Linked DNA regions of Drosophila melanogaster. The protein of the gene in region 4 interacts with the protein of the main gene of each other region in a pairwise test. Each region holds a gene or a part of one and is shown on either strand. Other genes may lie near its edges.

Evidence for each region.
Region 1: the proteins of Snp (region 4) and CG11164 interact in a two-hybrid assay, tested with the Drosophila melanogaster proteins (one large-scale study listed by BioGRID).
Region 2: the proteins of Snp (region 4) and oc interact in a two-hybrid assay, tested with the Drosophila melanogaster proteins (one large-scale study listed by BioGRID).
Region 3: the proteins of Snp (region 4) and Rint1 interact in a two-hybrid assay, tested with the Drosophila melanogaster proteins (one large-scale study listed by BioGRID).

The regions. Positions count from the first base shown.
Region 1 is NC_004354.4:13,666,139-13,670,132, forward strand, and holds CG11164 (uncharacterized protein), read left to right. Parts: upstream 1-1,875; 5' UTR 1,876-1,948; coding exon 1,949-2,309; intron 2,310-2,381; coding exon 2,382-3,043; 3' UTR 3,044-3,435; downstream 3,436-3,994. Other genes in the region: DNAlig4 (DNA ligase 4), read right to left, coding at 1-25, 88-998, 1,058-1,222, 1,290-1,602.
Region 2 is NC_004354.4:8,647,666-8,652,411, reverse strand, and holds the start of oc (ocelliless), read left to right. Parts: upstream 1-1,730; 5' UTR 1,731-2,037; exon of another isoform or gene 2,038-2,318; intron 2,319-4,746. UniProt on the Drosophila melanogaster protein: Transcriptional regulator involved in pattern formation and cell determination in the embryonic CNS and larval imaginal disks.
Region 3 is NT_037436.4:7,322,056-7,326,781, forward strand, and holds Rint1 (RAD50 interactor 1), read left to right. Parts: upstream 1-1,563; 5' UTR 1,564-1,672; coding exon 1,673-1,813; intron 1,814-1,868; coding exon 1,869-2,696; intron 2,697-2,754; coding exon 2,755-2,980; intron 2,981-3,034; coding exon 3,035-3,827; intron 3,828-3,903; coding exon 3,904-4,090; 3' UTR 4,091-4,200; downstream 4,201-4,726. Other genes in the region: RhoGEF4 (Rho guanine nucleotide exchange factor 4), read right to left, coding at 1-442, 500-1,057, 1,123-1,255. UniProt on the Drosophila melanogaster protein: During cytokinesis in male meiotic cells, required for completion of cleavage furrow ingression possibly in conjunction with Zw10. Required for maintenance of Golgi stack number and morphology. Essential for acroblast assembly.
Region 4 is NT_033778.4:22,059,356-22,063,952, forward strand, and holds the start of Snp (snipper), read left to right. Parts: upstream 1-1,594; 5' UTR 1,595-2,203; coding exon 2,204-2,226; intron 2,227-4,597. Other genes in the region: CG13501 (uncharacterized protein), read right to left, coding at 1-504, 557-706, 757-839, 904-1,150, 1,209-1,305. UniProt on the Drosophila melanogaster protein: A broad-specificity exonuclease, capable of degrading both structure-specific DNA and RNA targets without sequence specificity in vitro. Requires two to five unpaired nucleotides in the 3' region for efficient binding and nuclease activity.

The DNA.
Region 1 (3,994 bases), on a different chromosome or scaffold from region 4:
ACTCGGTGATCAGCCCTTTGATGTACTGGTTGGAAAATTGAAGTGAGTTCATATTAAAGCACTCTACTTAAAAATGACTCTACTCACATCAGCCTTGTCCTTGTACCACCCACCGCCCAGTCTAACGCCAGGCTGATATCTTGATCCCTGCTTCTTTAGCACAATGCCCTCGGCGTGGGAGTCGAGTGCCTGCTGGAACAGCTCGTTGAACTCTTGAACGGAACCGATTTTGCGTGCACGCATCAACTGCAGCACACCCGACTGTTCAACTATGAGTTTCTGCAATTTGTACGCCCGCTGAATGTAGGTATGGTCCAGCAGACTCTGGCCATTAAAATATAGCAGATCGTACACCACGAAACATGGCTGCCAGCTGCCCTCCGGCTTCAGGCTCTTCACGTCCGTATTCTCGCCTTTTTCCCGAAAGCGCAGTTTGTTGGTATCCCACACCATCATCTCGCCGTCGAGTATGATAGACTCCAGACCCAGCGGCAGAAGTCCCCTCAGCTTTGGCGTTAAGGTGCCGTGATCGTAGCTGTGACCAAAGTTTCTGGTGTAGTCCACTCCATTGCGGGAAATGTACATGAAACGACCCCGATCGATGTGCAGCTGAAAGCGTTCGCCATCCATTTTGGTCTCCAGATAGAGCACATCCGACTGCATCAGCTCCTGGATGTCACCGGGGAATCGTTCGCACAGCATGGGACGTATCTGGTGGAATGGCCGTATGACGGAATTCAGGTTTACAAACTTGACCGCCGCCTTGCTGTCCTTGCTGCTGCTGGCGTCTAGGTCGGTGGTTCGGTCTGCCAGCAGATTGCACACATGTCCCAGATCGGAGCAGCGCTGGTAGATATCCTGCGCCTTGGGGTGCAGCACACCGAAAATCTTTTGCTCACCGATCCCCAGCCCGAGGCTCTTAAGCAGCAACCGAATTAGCCACTTCTGTTCCTCAGGCGAGGCCTGCTCCGTAAACCGGATGAGTTGCTGCTGCTTAACTGCAAAGAGCGGTCTCATTAAGACGTTCAGTCGTTCAGATCAGTTTAAAAGCGCCCACCTTCTGTGTCCTCGTTGGCAATGGTGTCCAGCATCTGATGGATTTCTTTCAGTCTCAAATTGCTGGGCGGATTAAAGCACCTTGGCTTAAGCACGGAATAAACAACATCACCGTAGTCCCGGTACATGTTTCCGTTGCGGTGCTGCAGCCTGATGGCATCGCTGGCTAGTAGAGACAACAAAGAGATTCTAAATAAGCCTAAATGCCATTGCCAATACGTTTCTGCACTCACAGTCCGTGGGTAGCTGGAGCACCCTGATGTAGAGCCTGCCCAGCGCGGTGATCTGCAATCCATAGGTATCCCGACCAGTGTCCGCACCCGGAAGCAGCAGTCGCAGCACGGAATAGAAGCTACTGGCACCGTCCTCCGGCTGGTCGTTGTTTAATCCGGTTTGCCGGCGAAAGGATTCGCGGTGGCGACAGAAGGACTCGTAGTAGCTCTTGAGGACCTCCTCCTTGTTAGCCACCTTTTGCGTGGCCTTAATCTTCTCGAACAGGCTGCAAATATCCCGGAACTTGATCGTGCTGGCTATATCTACGCTCATTTTGTTGTTTAAAAACAATATACTGTTGTAAACAATTTCATCACTGTGAACATCTGTTCAAGCAATGTGACCGCGCTTCTCAATCAAAGTTAATACCCATTTTAGACTAGTTGCAATATTAAGATGCGGACGTTAGTGGCAGAGATTATTTAATTTTTAAGCTCTTCTATTTGGCATAAAATAGATAAAATAGTTTATAGGAACAAGTTAAAATTAGCAGACTATATAAAATACCAAAATTAATCGATAGACTTCTATCAATAACCAAAAAGGCGGCAAATCGTTTGTTTTGGTTCGGTCCACAGTTATTGACTTTTGCTTCACGCTTGGCAAGTTATTCGAGAAAATGGGCAAAAAGGAAACGCGAGCGAGAAAACCAAAAGCTGATCCGGATGCGGAGGGATCTGCCAAGATGTGCAAGGCCTCGGCACTGAAGAAGGTGTTCTTCATGTCGGAGGAACTGCTGCCCAAAGATGCGGACGACGGACACCTTCGGCTGGAGATGTTTTTCCATCCCGGACATGGCAAGGAGGCACTGTTCATAACCCATCCCGATGGCAGAATGATGGAGCTGGTGGCGTTCACGGAACCCCGACGCAGTTGGTTCGTGGACAGCGAGGTCTGCTCCAACGGCAGAATCTACATGACCGCGCCCGTGGATCCCACGTTCCTGGCTCTTCATCACCTCCGAAAACATTGTGCGCAAAGTAAGATATTATCATTCGCTTTCGATGGTATACTATACTATTGTATTCTTGAAAATCTTTAACCACAATCAGGAGCAATATCGCTGGACAACATTGCCGTGGAGGAGGCCAGCACCAGTCGTCTGCTTAACGAGATCCTCGACCCAGGGAACCTTAAATGCGTGGCAGATGTGAAGAGCTCTGGCGAACAGAAGTTCTACAAGTACAACCAAGAGCGCACATTGGCTTGGTTGGCTCTGAAGACGCGCCAGGTGGCGAAGATCCTGAAGGAGAAGCAAGTCCACTGCGGCCACAGTGCGCAGTCGCAGAATTTCGTGCGAAGCGAGAAACTGGTAGCTGAGAACGTTAGCAACGAAATGGACTACACGCGCATGGCTTGCGATTATGTGGGACGGTATTTGGATGCGGATCTGCACGGCTTGCTCACCAGTTACCTGCACATTCCTAGCGAGATTCAGGCGATTGTTGAGGAGAAAGCAGCTTCTCAGAAGCGCAAGTCGGTGGCGGGCAAGAACGAGGGCAGCGACTCCAAGAAGATCAAGCTAAATGAGAGCGATGCTGCTGCCAAGCTAAAGTCCAGCGGTCTAGTGGACAGCGATGGCGATCCCAATGCCACCATCACATCGCCCACAGCGGCGCCTCTGAAGGAGCGCTCGCTGACCGCCAAGGAGAAGGCCCTGGCCAAAGGAGCCAAGGGCACTAAAAGCATCGCATCGTTTTTCAAAGCGAAGTAGATTAACGTTTCACAGATCTTAAGAATAGGTTTTAACTCCTTATTTTATATATATACTCTATTTAATACAAATGTACACTTTTTTTTACAATGAATATAGTACTTTAAAGAATTACTTTTGTTATTTTAAGATTTGTATTCATAAATTTGGTATTTTGAAAGTGCGCCTTTTTGGCGCATGCGCTGTTTGATCATCTCTCTTGATTCCGTTTGGTAAATCCCCATCAGCTGTTGGCGTTGCCAGGCTTCTAAGGAATTGGTTTACTTAGAGGCTTCAGTGCCAAATGTTGCGAATAAAGAGTTTCTTAGTCGACATATTTTTTTAGGTATACCATATAAGCATATTAAGTAATGCTAATTAAACATATGAAATCAGAGTATACTAATAAAACTAACTAGAAACGAAATTAATTTTTGGGGATTCATGCAACACATATGATTTCAATCCTTAGTTCATTGCGCGGGGTGGCAATCCTGGCCGTCAGTTACAAAGCTGCTGGCTCCTTTGTTTCCGTTTTTGTCGCTCAGTTGTTGCTGTGCGCGCTCCCACGTTCGAGGCTAACGGTGAATTCCGCTTTGCGCCTTGATTCGCATTTCGCCACCCCCGTTACCCATTCGCCCGCAACCGAATATCCTGCTACTCCTGCTCTTGTTGTTGTTGTTGTTTTCTATATGCCTTGAATTTTCGGAACAACAATTACAGGGGTTACATTAGTGAATTTTCCCGTTAGCCGTGTGTCCCAAAGCCAGTGCTCAAGTTTAAATTGTGAAAGGCAGAGAAAGGAAAAGAGTGGCGTCACACGAAAGAAAATTTTCTTTGGCGTCGTCGAGGTGTTTGTGCCTTAGTGTGTGTGTATGTGTGTGTGCGAATGTGTTGTGGTTGGTGTGGCATAAGATAAATAATACAATGCAGCACTCAGTTAGCAACAAATTCTCTCTTCTCTGCAGCAGC
Region 2 (4,746 bases), on a different chromosome or scaffold from region 4:
CGCGCAGTTTTTGCCTCCGTGAATTTTACTCCAAAAACATTTTACATTTCCCCGCAACATTTTTCATGAAAATTAGGTTTTTGTTTTATTTCATTTCGGGCTCTCTGTACAATTTTTTTTTCGAGATTTCCCGTTCGTTGTGTCCGAGTCCCAATTTGTGCGCTAAGCTTTTCCCCTCGAAGGGTAATTGCCTCATGTTTCATCTACACATCAATTAGCCGCAACAATTTAATTTGCCCGCCTGGAAATGGGAAAAGTGCGGTAGCTGGATAAAAAAAAAATAATAAGCACACAGCAATTTCAACAAGAAAAATCCATAAAATATTTGTGCAACATTTTCTCGCCGCCCAAACCTGCGGGCCGTTAGTGCGAGTGAGATGGCCAAACAACTGTCGTCAGCTATTTCAAATTGTCATAAAAATTTGATAAGGTTTTTTCCGCTGCTCCCCCAAACCACCCAACTCTGCGAATTTTTATTCCTGCGTCAGCTACAAGGCAAAAATATAACAGAAAAAAATGTTTGGGCACAAAAAGTGTTGGTTGCTCGAAAATATCATTTACAGTTAGACTGCCATGGTAGAGAATTTATAAATAAGCTAATTAATAATTATAAGCTAGTTGAAAATTAAAACTAACAAAACCGCTTTGCAAAACTAAATCATAATTATAATAGCTATATCTATTGAAATCATTTATTAAAGACCTCTTTTGAGCAATTCTTAGCCCACGAATAGCAAACTAGACTTTAAACCCAAATCCACCTTAAGTTTCGATTCTTTTCGCCTCACTTTGCGTAAATGATAATTGAACAATGGGGGCCGCCCATTGGGGCGAAAGAGAGGGGGCGTGCCAAGTGTGAGTGGCTGGCTCTCCCCATCCCTGTCGCGCTTTCGCCGCTGGTGTTGTGTGTGCATGGCAATTTGCGACGCAGAAGTAGAAGAGGAGGAAGCTAAAGAAGAAGCAGTAGCAGCAGTAGCAGCAGCAGTAGCAAAAGTAGCGGTACTGACCAGCGTCCTTTAAACGCCCGTCGCCACCTACCCCCGTTTCCTTATCTTTCGCTGTTAGCTAACAAATTTTTGCGTTGTTTTCGCTGTCTTGTCGTTTTCATTAAAATTTCATTGCTGCCGCGCAAAAATACGAAGGTACGTTGTTGCTTTTTTTTCCTCCTTTTATGACTATGTATTTTTTGCTCCTCGTTTTTTGCTCTTGTGGCAACAACAAAGTTGTTGAACTGAATTTTTTTGGGGTGTGGTCCCACACTCAAACGCACACCAGCAACGTACACACACGCTCATACACGCGCGCACACACACGCGCAGCAGCAACAACACAGCGGTAAATACAGCTGCTCAGCAAACGGTACCACCAGCAGTTGTCTCGCTCCCACTCAGTCAGGTTGTAAGCGGCGTGCGAGAGAGATGCCGCAAGAGAGTGAGAGAGAGAGAGAGAGCGAAATACTGAACGACTGGAACGGAGCGAAACTACGGCTATCTCACTCTGGCGCGCGGTAGAGAGCCGGGCAGCCATTGCTAAAAGCAGGCACTCACTCGCTCTCCCTCTCGTTTCCACCACCGCTGGTGTTTGTTTGTTGTTTTTTTCCTGCTTCTTCTTCCAACATTTTTTCTTGTTGTTTTTCTTTTTTCGCAGACTCTGGTCGAACGACTTTTGCTCTGCCCGCTGCTCGCTGCGCTGCTGCCGCCGCTGCCATCGTCCGTGGAAGGTGTACCGCAATTCATTTCCAGAGTAACTTTCGTGCCGCTCGGGTTGTTTTTGTGCGTCGTCCGTCGCCCAGTTGCTCAGTTGCTCATTCGCCCCGTTCGCCGCTCGTTCGATCGCTCTCGCCACTCGCCGCGTTCGCCGATAAGCAAGCAAGCACCAGCGCAAGCCAATAACAACAATCAATTCGCCGTCGCCAAACCGAATCAAATCAAATCGAAGCAAACTAAACCAATCAAACACAAATAAACAAATATCAACACGAGAAGCTATAGCTAACACAGCTATAGAGAAACAAAGAGCCCCAGAGGAGAATACTAAGTAATACAGAGAGATATATCCTTTTGGATATAACGCAGTGCCAAGTGACGAGAATCTGTTTTTTTACCGTGTTGCCAGTGCTAAACCATAAACATCGCCCAAAAAACATACATCTCTGGAATACAATATTTATATATATATAAATATACATATATATCTTTATATATATGCATGTGTAAAATATACTCATGCCATAACCATATAGTAGTTGGATCCGAAAACAAGTCACCATTGGAATACAGCACCGTTTTGCTTCTAGTTTTGTTTGTGTTTTTTTTTCGGTGAGTGCGATCCGCCGATATCGAGAAATCGGTAGCAATCTATATATCCAGCAAGGAATGTGGAGCCGAGAGATAAGCACGGATTACATGGGGAATCTGTAGACCTAAGTAGTTTTTGGGGGAGCGGGAATCTATCTTAGGGATTACTCTTATCAACTTGTTTATTTAGCAGAGATATTAGGTCACAAGTCTTACATTATCTATGACATATTTGAAATACACTCTTTAAACTTGGAATAATATTGAAAGATCTAACACGCTGTAAAGCTTAATTATTTTCTTTTTCGTTATCGCTTCAACTTTATTCTTGAGCCAATCTTCATTCTTCATTATAAAGCTCAGACTTTAGAGATATGTTATAATATGTTTGGTTCACTATTTTCGATTAGCCGAACTTGACAGATCTTTTGTTTTTCACTTACACTTCTACATATATTTACAAGGTTAAAATGTTCTTCCAAATGCTATAATCAACCGATATTATTTTGCCACATATACTAGTCTTTATTTAGCTTCAGATTCAATGGATCTTAGAAGTCTTTAATTGGAATACTATTCATTGATTTCGGGGACTCCCAAGTCCAACAATAGAGTTACCTATTCCATGCCCGAAACTTTGTTTCAGTTCCTTCAGCTCTTCGTGATATGATGGAGCCTTTTTTTTAAAAATCTGGTTTCGGTCAGGAAATTTCCGCCTATGACTAATGTGCTGATCGTAATGTGAGAAAATGCGCGTTTCGGAGATTCGTTATGATTTTCATAATTTTAATGGGCATATTAAGGCCGCCTCCCCTAATTAGGCAAAACAAAAAGAAGCCAGCAAGAGCCGACCAAATCGATACGAGAAATGTGATATAGAAAAAAGGCTAACAAAATGATAGGGCCAACGGCGAAGAAACCCCAAGAAAATCAATACTAGATACAATAGAAGACAGCCGACGGACCCGTTCGGGTCACATTATTCACACATATTCCCAACATCCCCACATCACCACATTCCCACTTCCCGATGTTAGCGATCGGATCGTCTAATTTCAAAGCGGCGGCTATAAATTAAAATATCTGAATAATACGTTGACTCCTCGCTGGCTACTTTGTTGTTCTGCTTTATTATTAATTTGCATATGGTTTTCTAACATAAAGCAACTGAATATTAAATATGCAAGTCGATTCATTTTTCTCCCATTCCGATAGTCTTTCTCCATTCGAATCAAAGTGTTGAGAATGGGATTCGGATTCGGCTTCAGATTCGGATACGGAGTTCGTGCAGTTGGTGTAGCTGGTGAAGCTGGTGGGGATCTCTTGGGATCTATTCGGTCCCACCCACGCTTGTGCTTGCTGGCCCTGCCTAGATCCCCATAGTATCACAATACCTCAATGTACCAATCTTCCAATGCCAATTCATTCATTCACAACATCCGCCCAGCGTTGTCGATTGTGAATTGAAAGTCGCCGAGATCGCGTCGCGACACATTTGATACCTTATCGCGGATATCCATAAAGCTCAGCGAATAAGTGAATTTCGCTCTAGGAAGCACTGAAAAAAAAAGTACTCGAAGTTGTAGATTCACATAGCAATGGCATAGCTAAACATTAGATCAAGAATTCATTGGAAGTACGTTGGTTCGATATGCTTGTGGGACATGATGTGATAGATATTACAACTAATAGTATTTATCAATATGTTAGCATTCCATATTTTGTACTATTGATTAAGTATTGAACAATACTAGTAGTTCTAGCCTATTCCATAGTGGTTTTTGAGTTATATTTTAATATGTGGGCATATTTTCGCTCACTGTGAAACGGTATCCATTGTTCCGCTTCCCTAGCACGCCCCAAATCTTTCGGATCGGTTTGGTTGCGATCAACTCGAACTCCCACACACTTGGCATGGGTATGGATATATATGCTCGTACCTGGGAGATCGGGTGTTGCCTTTTTTTTTTTTTTGTTTTGTCGTCATCTTTTGTCAATCTCTTGTGGCGTCGCCTCGCCTTAAGTGAGGTTTCATTTCGTTTCAGTTTATTTCATTTCATCCAGCGTTTCTTGGACTTGGACGCACTTACTGACTTTTTTTCTCCCAATTTTTTTTTTTGCCTACCAATTATTTGTATTATTAATTTTTATCTCTCTTCACTCTTTGCTCATTACGCGATACTGGCGGTGTTGTTGCTATTCGCTTCTCAAATTTCGTTGACAAAGCCATTTAAATAGAAATCACTCAGACGGAGGTTTATTTTTTTTTTCAGTTTTCAGTTTTCAGTCTTCAGGTTCCATTTCCAGTTTCGACTTATCAAGATCACATTGACAATGCGTCAAATAATAAGTTTTTCTAGCCGCTGTCGTTGTTTTTCTTGCTGTTTTTGTTTGTGCTGCGATTCGACTGGAGCTCTTTACTCTATTAGTCTATTATTGATATGTACAA
Region 3 (4,726 bases), on a different chromosome or scaffold from region 4:
ACGTGCAGATCGATGGCATCGCGGATGAAGCCCACCCAAGTGCGCGACAGCTGCACATCGCCGCTACCGAAGATTATGCCATCACTTTGGCAAGTAAGCTTAAAGTTGCCCGGCAGCATTTCGTACACTTTGCATTTTTTCAACGGAAAAATACAGCAACACTCCAGTGAGTTTTCCACAACGGTGTTGGGCGCACGTTCCTTGATCATCTTGCAGTACATGAAGATGTCGGACATGAGAACACAGTAGCGCTTGATTTCCGTGCCCTTGTGAGTGATCTTCTGCAGTACACCCTCCTTGATTACCCGTCGCGAGGGCTTCACAATGTTCGGTGTGCGATTCACCAAAGAGTTCTGCAAATGAATCAGATACTGGGTAATTTCCTGCTCCTCCACACAGGTGTTTATGTGACTGGCGGTGGCCTCGATCTCCTTGACGGATTCTGTAAGGATGAGCGCAATTATTCGATATCTGATTAACATTAACTTCAAGATCATACCTTTCAACAACTTATAGTCAGCATCTGCGGGACTCGTGTAGAGCAGTACCTGCTCCAGAAGAAGCTTATACCGCGGTACCCGCTGGATGGGCACAATCATCAGCGAATTTAGCTTGCGTTGCACCTCCGGACGACTCTCGGTCTGCTCCAGAAACTTTCGGAACACCGGATTCTTGCTGATCAAATCCTGGATGATGAACAGAGCTCCGCGGTAGTCAAAGGCGTACACCGAGTACAGTTTGAAGAAAGGAGCCATTTTCAGGAATGCGTGCGCAACATTCTCCATGTTCGCCTCCAGTTCGCGCAGGAATTCTCCGTTAAGATTGTGAATCATCTCGATTTGACCGAAGAGCAGCGTGTGATTGGAGCAATCGATGATAGCCTGTTCCTTCAAGGGACGCACAAAAAAGTTCATCAGCAGCTCCAGCTGCTCCAGATACGATTTCTCCGACGAAATAATCTCCTGGATGGCCTGGCGACGGAAACCCAATCTTTTTCCCGCGTCCGGATTGGGGGAGCCAATCGGACTGCTGTTGTTGCTGTCCAGCATGGAGCAAACTGCATGAACCGAATGGTCACAATTAGTTGTTGAACACCTGGCGCCGCCTTTGTGTGCTGCTCACCTTTCCTACGCGACTTGGCAGTTAGAAGATTCCGCTCCTGCAGCACCTGCCGCAGTTCCCGGCTGAAGCTGAGAGGTGTTTGTGGCGAGTGAATGAAGCCATTCCCGTATCCTTTCTGCCTGGGCGTAAACATTTTCCAATCGACTTTCTGGAAAGAAGATCCAAAAAGAAAACGACGCCACACCTGTTCAATTTGAACAATGCCGCTTCTGCAGTGTTACCGTTTGTTAGTGGCAGCCACACTGGAAAGTGTAAGACCGCATTGGCGAGGGGAGATTGAAGAATAAGAAAAAGTTAAGCAAACTATAATATAATCTTGTCTATTTTTGTAGCTTTCTATTCATCTTGGCTGTGGTTATTATAGATCTTATAAAAATTGTAATATTAAATTAATTTCATTTAAAACTTTTGTGCCCGCGTATGCGTTGCACCAGTCTAGCCTATTGTATTGCGACATGGTCACACTGGCTAAATTATTTATTTTTTATACGTGGTTCGTGGCCCGTTTAGCTTTTAATTTAAATGTTGTTTTAGCTATTGCTGCACCGAAATGCATGCAGAACTCAGCGAAATGGAGTTGCGCATAGTGGCGCGACTAAACGAGGAGATCGGAAAGGATGCCAGCCAGCTACACCGGGCCAGCCACCTCGTTAGCCACTACAAAAAGCACCTCCAAGTTTTGTCCCAAACGGTTGGACGAATATCTATCTATCTAGATCATGATTTTGATCCATATATTTCAACAGCTCGACTACGAGGATCCCCAGAACGTGTCCTGCTACAAAACCGCCTTCCAATGCCAGCAACAGGTTTGCGAGAGCATCGACTTCGAGCTGGAAAAGCTGGCTCACTTCGAGGACAAGCTGAAAAGAAAGCTAAAGGAGTGCCAGCCCGTGCTTGAGGGAGTGGCAGAGGATTTAGACAAGGTGCGACAACTGCAGCGTTTGCAACAGTATCTGCTCCTGGTGCAGGACATTCAGGAGATAAGCGCTGCCCTAGGCAATGCCATCAATGGCAAGGACGAGGACAAACTGGTTAATATCTACCTAACCCTCTACGAGGGCAACGACTGCGAGCACAGCGTAGTGGGTCGCCTGCATGCTGTGCAGGCACAGTCGCTGAAATCCTTTGCCGAACGCACTGCCATCTACTGGCACAAGCTGCTCCTCAAGCGCCTGTCCAGCGCATTCGAGGCTGTACTGAAGAGCATGCGCTGGGCGCATCTAGAACAGCAGGCCCTTAACTATTCGTCCGCACGAGACACTGCCAAGGCGCAACTGCTAGCGGAGTACATGTTCCTCATCAAATCTCCAGCCGAAGAGCGGGCGCCACTGCAAAGCATCACGCCCAGCATCGTGTGCCAGCCCATCAACCGGGTGGTGCAGCTCCTATTGGCGCCGTATCGCCAGCGTTTCCAATTTCACTTCACAGGCACCAGACAAACCAATAGATTAGACAAGCCCGAGTGGTTCTATACGCAAATTCTCAACTGGGGCAAGGAGACGCATTTCTTTGTAGGCAAAACATTTCAGCCAGCTGCCATTAAAGCGGGTAAGCTGGACTACAATCTCAGGGTAAGTGTCTCGGTGTCTTACCAGACCACTCAAAATTCTAATTGTGTTACTCTTTTAGCTGGAGTTTATTCGAGGACTGGTGCAGTTAGCCATTGAAAAGTTGGCGGTGGACATAGAACAGATTGCCCAGGACCAGATACTATTTGCCCATCTACTTGATGAGACGCTGGCCTTCGAATCCGAGTTACGGGAAACATTTGGGTATCCGGCTAGTTTTCCCAGCGCGATTTCTGTAATCACACAACCCATGTATTTGCTACGCTGGATTTCACTGGAAGAACGATGTGAGATATGGTCGCTGCCCTCGATTGCTGTTATTTAATAATGTGCTTACCTAGTTTGTGCGGAAAAAATGGATGACATTCTGCAGGCGGAGACGCCATTCCAGCTAATCGATCCCAACTCATTCGAGAACGATCTGAAAATACCCAAGTGTGCGGATCAGTTTATGCGACTGCTGGACGCCATTAAGGATCGTTACTATGGTCTGATTCAACCGGGCCACCAGCTGCAGTTCCTGCACCTGCAACTGGAGCTGATCGATAGCTTCCGACAACGCCTGGTGCAACTGCACAGCAGTGGAGCGGTGCCAAGCATTCCCATACTGAATGCCATCAACTATTTGGTAATGGTGCTCCGTGAATGGGGCGAAAACGTGCATTATCTGCACCTGCATGCGGCACTTGCCGGTCCAAATGCCACGGAGATTAATTCAGTGTTCGAGCATGCCGTCGCTGAGTTGGAACACTGGGCCAGACAACTAATGCGGAATCTGGCCACCAAGGCAACCAATGAAATGAAGGCGAAATCGATGAGCTATCGCCGTGACGCGTGGCCGACTATGCCCGAACAAAACAGCCGGGAGCCGTTCATCCTTTCGCCCAGTGGTGGCGAAATGTTCCAGGTGCTGGTCACCCTGCTACACAATCTGGAACGGGAACTCTCCGCCAATCTGTTCACCCAAACGCTCCGTTTGATAGCCCATCAAATCGATGACTTCATGCTCGAGAGCATGGTCATGAACACGAAGTTCTCAGCTGCGGGAGCAGCGCAATTCAATTATGACATGACACGCAATTTATTCGCGCTCTTTGGACAGTATACACGTCGTCCCGAGCTGCTCTTCAAGCGGTGAGTCATCTCTACATTTGCTATGGTGCACAATAAACATAAATCTGACACCTTTCATTTCCATTCGATTCGCCAGAACACACGATGCCTGCAAGCTGCTGGCGGCGGCACGAGGAACAGCTTTGTTGCTGCTGGAAACGCTGCGTGGTAATCAATCGGTGGAGGAGAAGACGAAGCCGCTGAGGGAACTGCATGTGCTCAGCATGGACAGCAAACAGTGCATTGAGGTTCTGGAGCGGAGGATGGACATAAAGATGTTTTAGGTGATGGAAATTAATTTAAGCTAGTTAATTGGGCCCTAGGAACTTTTGAAATGATATACAACGTTCGGACGCCGTTTTTTTGCGAAATAAAATCATTAACACCCAAAATGAAAGTTAAAAGATGTTTATCGTAATTTACATTCATTTTATTTGAAGAAAGGCATGTGTATAAACATAGTTATCATGACGGAGATTTAACTAATTTGTATTTAACCAGGACACAGTTTCGAACTCGTGCGAATGCTAGTAACAAACGACCAAGTTGTATGAATGAGATATAATTTTGAGTACATATTTACAATTAAATAGCAATTCGTTGCTCTAGGCGCACAAGTCTTGAATGTTTTTTGTGATAATTAAACATTTAGTTGGAATTGTGGTCTCAATGTTTGGTTTAATTTGTAAAACGTTGACACAAAAACATGCGGTAACTTTAACTTTAATAATAAATTGATCTAAAAATACATAGCGTAAAATAGCATATAAACCGGCCTGATCGGGCTCGAATCGCATATCAATACTGATTCATGGCTGATCAGGGCGTATTGTATATCCCTATCGTCGGATGACAAACAATTGCAGTTAGTAAATACCAATTTGCGACTCGAGACGCACATCACACATCATCATCACATC
Region 4 (4,597 bases):
TAAGGCAATAAATTTGCAGGCGGGGATTATCCGTCGTCGAAGTCATGAGACGACCCACATAACACGGCAGTTGGGTGAACTCCCTGCTGCGCCACAATGCCCGCTTGCTATGGAGCCCATTGAGCAGGGCCAAAGCCGTATATTCCCAGTTCTCCACCTTCTGGCGAGGCAGCAACATTCGCGGATTCTCATCGGGCTGGGCAAAGACGTCGTAAAGCAGCTTTACACCATCCACGGCATCGAAACGCCGCTGACCCTCAGCACAGCAGAGTAGCAGCGCAAATGCCTTGGTGTTCATGTCCCAGAAGTTGGACAAGCGGTTTAGGATCCTCGAGTGCAGCAGCTCGAAGAGGCCCAGCTCGATGCCCCGATCGGGTGCCACTTCCAGCATGTCACACAGGTGATGCCACAAATGCAACGGGAATTGCGGACGGCATGGATCCTGTCTGAAGATCTCGGCTAAGGCGGAAAAGTTTTCAGGATCCTCCAGGAATATACCCAGAACTAGGAAAAAATATAACACCGTTAAATCCAATGAAGTGCATGCAGAGCTCACCTTTTGGCTTGCATGTCAAATTTCGCAATATCTCTGAAGCCAATTCATCCTTAATAGGCTCTTGGTTCTTAATGATTTTATAAAACTCCACCCTTAAGCACTTGCGGTTGGCTATATTTTCGGCTCCATCCAAATTGCGGGATAGTATATCTTTAAGAAATAAAAGCTTATTCTAAGAATTCACACAACCTTCAACTTACTATAAATCCTTAGATACATCTCCACCTCCCGGTGCTCCTCCTTGTGATGCTTCAATCTCATACGCATAAAGGCATTCTTCAACCTATTGGTAGGATAGAAACTGGATGATATCAAAAAAAAAAAACTCCTCAATGCAGACAACCCACTTTCTAACAAGGTCCATTTCAATGATAGCTCTTTGGGCATTCAGTGGATTTAGAACGAATTCCGACAACGATACGACTGCCTTCCAATGGGTCAGCCTAACATCACTATCCAGTTCTTTGAGCAATTTGGGCAGTGCAAACCAGCCGTAGGCCAGTTCAGCACGATCCGCCAGGTGCGTCGAGGTCGAATTGCAGCAGAGCGGCATACACTTGCAAATATTCCGTTTCTCCATATGATGCGTCCACTCTGTAATCCATTTTTTTTATGATTATCCTTCGCTGATTATATATCGCAACTAAATTACCCGTAGTCTGCAAGCTGTTTATGGAGGTCGGCTTCATCACATCCTTGATTTCGTGTTGCAGAAAGTGATTGCGATATCTCGCTAGCTGCTCCCACATTTTGGTTTAATGGTTTGTTGTTATTATAATGAGAAAATACAATACGTGTCAAATGCCAGAACTTTTTTCAAAAATCAACTTCTATTCTACGTTTCAACTTAACATTTCTGTTAGGAAAACTATGTTTCTGTACTGTAAAGCGCCATTGCGGCTGAGAACGTAACCCAATTGGTTGGAAGCTCAACTGCGTGTTGAATATTATGAAAAGGTTCGAAGCTCGGATGCAACAGCTGTTCGTCGCCTGAAATCGATATATCGCAATTTGGTTGATATATTTCGCCGATTCAATGCCGCTGCATTTGTGAACGGACGCCGAGCGAGTTACTACCGAATATTAGATGCGGACTGCAAGCGCAGCTATACGAGAATATACCGACAGGCACGCAAAATATGCAAATACCAGGAGTGCATCTCTATTGACCGGTCAAATACTCGGCTTGGCGGATAGTGCATTTGCAGTTGCAATTTCATCAATCGCCAAATGCACTTGACTGAAAGGCTGTACAAAAAAACAAAGAGAAAAAACCCAGTGTGCGTGCGGGAATATGTAAAAAAAAAACGAGTTAAATAAATAGCTAAATAACAAGCAGAAAGCAGAACGTAAGTATCGAAAAAGCGCAGTGTTTTTGTTGTGCCGGCTGAAATAAATTCGATTGTGTGCGCGCGCGTTTGTTTGTGTGTCGGCATGTGCGTGTGAGTGAGCAGACAACAAAAGGAATTCGGCTCGCTCAACTTCTTCCTAGTTTACCGTTACTTGCACTGCCAAAATCGCAAAAAATAAGGGGAATAGGGAGATAAATAAATAAGCCGACGAATTTCGAATAGCATAAATAGTAGCTCCTGCCAAAAAAAAAAAGAAGAAAAATCAGAGAAACGTCAGTCAAATCGAAAAACAGAAATGGCCTTGATAAAACTAGCAAGGTGAGTTTTTATTCTGTTTTCTCGCTAATATTACCTATAAAGTATGTGTATAGGAATTTTCCCGTTGAAAGTTGTAGTCCACCTTCTCTTTCTTTGCTTTTCCACTTAACAAACCGCAATTAAGTTGGCCAGGGGCGGAGTTTCCACCGAAAGGGGGTTTTTCCAGCACTTGCCCACGTAAATTGATTTTCTGTGGCCCCGTCATCCTGTCGTGCTGACCTGAACTGACCCCATTTTTCATTTCCATTTTCCGACAAAAGAACAAAGTCCGCAGCCTGAAAAATCCGGCCCTGGCCTTTTTTTTTTATTGTTGCCTCTTGGTCAACAGCAAAGCGCTTGAGGCCGTGTAATAACTTTCGGGCAAATATTTATTTCCCAGCAACGAGTTGTTGATATTGAAGTTGGTCAATGCACTTTGGCGCCCCTGAAACGCACTTCAAATATCGCTAAGTGTAATCAGGGACTCGGAAAAACGATGATAACAATAATTAAGCATATTGCAGAATCGTAGATATACATACAATTATATTTATGTATTTCAATTGTATGATAATATGATATACTTAATACCAGTACATTTACATTTACAAAAATAAACATCCTTGTGCTTAGATCCAAATTAATTTCGCATGAAATATTTTCGAAATCTTCATAATACCAGTTTCGCAACCAGATTAAACTACTTTTTAGAACACACAACGAACAATCGAATCTAATTTGAACAAGATCAATTCATAAACTTAAGAACACAGCGAACGTAGGATTATGATAATCTGAATTTCAAATGAACTGCTAATAATAGGAAAACTTACGTGAGGTCTGTGCAATTAATTCTGTTATTGTCTAACAACTAACAATGTATTTGTTTACCTTCTCGATTTCGTTTGTTGACTTTTCCAGCATGTACAACAACTAAACAAACTAGCTATCTGGCTATCGAATTTCCAACGCCATTATATCCACTATCCCCTTCACTATAGACTCCGATATTTATTTATTTGCTGTTTACGTTCGCAAAAAAAAAACCAAACAGTCGCAAATCACACATGATTAAATTAATCAAGCGGCGCACAGGCGTTAAGTTTGCGATCAGTTGATTGATGGCCCGCTGACTGATTGGCCGCGTGCTCAGCAATCAGAATTGGGACTATCCCATACGCCACATACACTTTGCCCGGAGGATCCGAGCTGCACTTGCTGCACTGTGAGTGCCCCACTTCTAATGGTCCGCACATAGTTGGAGCAGTGATTCACCTGACCCATTCCCTGGAAGGGGTTCGGTGGTCCAAAAATAACTCCCAGCCTTTCAGCAATTGAGATCAGAGTTGCTGGGACACGGACTTTGGTAATTGAGTGTAATTGGAAGTGAACACGAGACCACTCACTCCAATCCCCAGATCTCGGTGGCCAGATGACGGATGACAGGCCCAGTGGAAGCTGCAAAAGTGCAGCAGATTGCATCCACAAAGAATGTGTCTGTATCGCGGCCCGATGGCCCCAATATGTCCTCGCCTGACCTGCTAGTTCAATTTGCACATGAAACATACAGTATGTATTCTTCGAGTACCACCACCTCATATATGCATGTTTATATATATATATATATATATATATATATATATATTCATATTTATATGGCTGTGCAGTGGAAACTTTTGTGGACTACAATGAGAATGCAATAAAACTAAAACGGGAGGCTGCATTGATAAAGCGAGTAATCTATATGACGACATGGTCTCGAGTTACTCTGTAAATAGCACCCTGCGCACATGGAGCGTATTTACATACCACATATACATATATGTACGTACATACTATGTATCTGCGTAATCTCGGGCTGTTTGAAAGCCCTATTGTTATACGACTCGTGCTGGCGACTGTTTAATTTAATTATGACTGTTTCATTAATTGAAGTGCGTAGTATTCTATAAATGGAAATCTTGCGGCCGCAATAACAACGCGCATGGGGCATCAAATGAAAGCTTCCAATCAAGATCAGTGCTTTATAACTTTTGTCAATCTTAACTCAGTTCGATTTGTCACTCCACTTCAGCAAAGTCGTAGATCTTCGATTGATAAGCAGTACTTCCTTTGTCTTGGCCAAAATGCACCTGATCGATCAATGGGAGGTCTTGGCCATCCACTCGTGAGTAGACTCAGCTATCTTTGTAAAGTTGCGCAATTTCCAAGCTGGTCGCACATCGAATTCTAGTTCTCATTCCCACACGAAAACCCGTTTAAAAAAACAAACCAACAAACAAATGAGCTAATGTGCTTGAATACGCTTAAGATCGGTTTGAATATACATATAAGATCCGAATTTTGGGTGGTTCTCATATAAATTGTAATGCTATTTACGAATCTAGCTGTT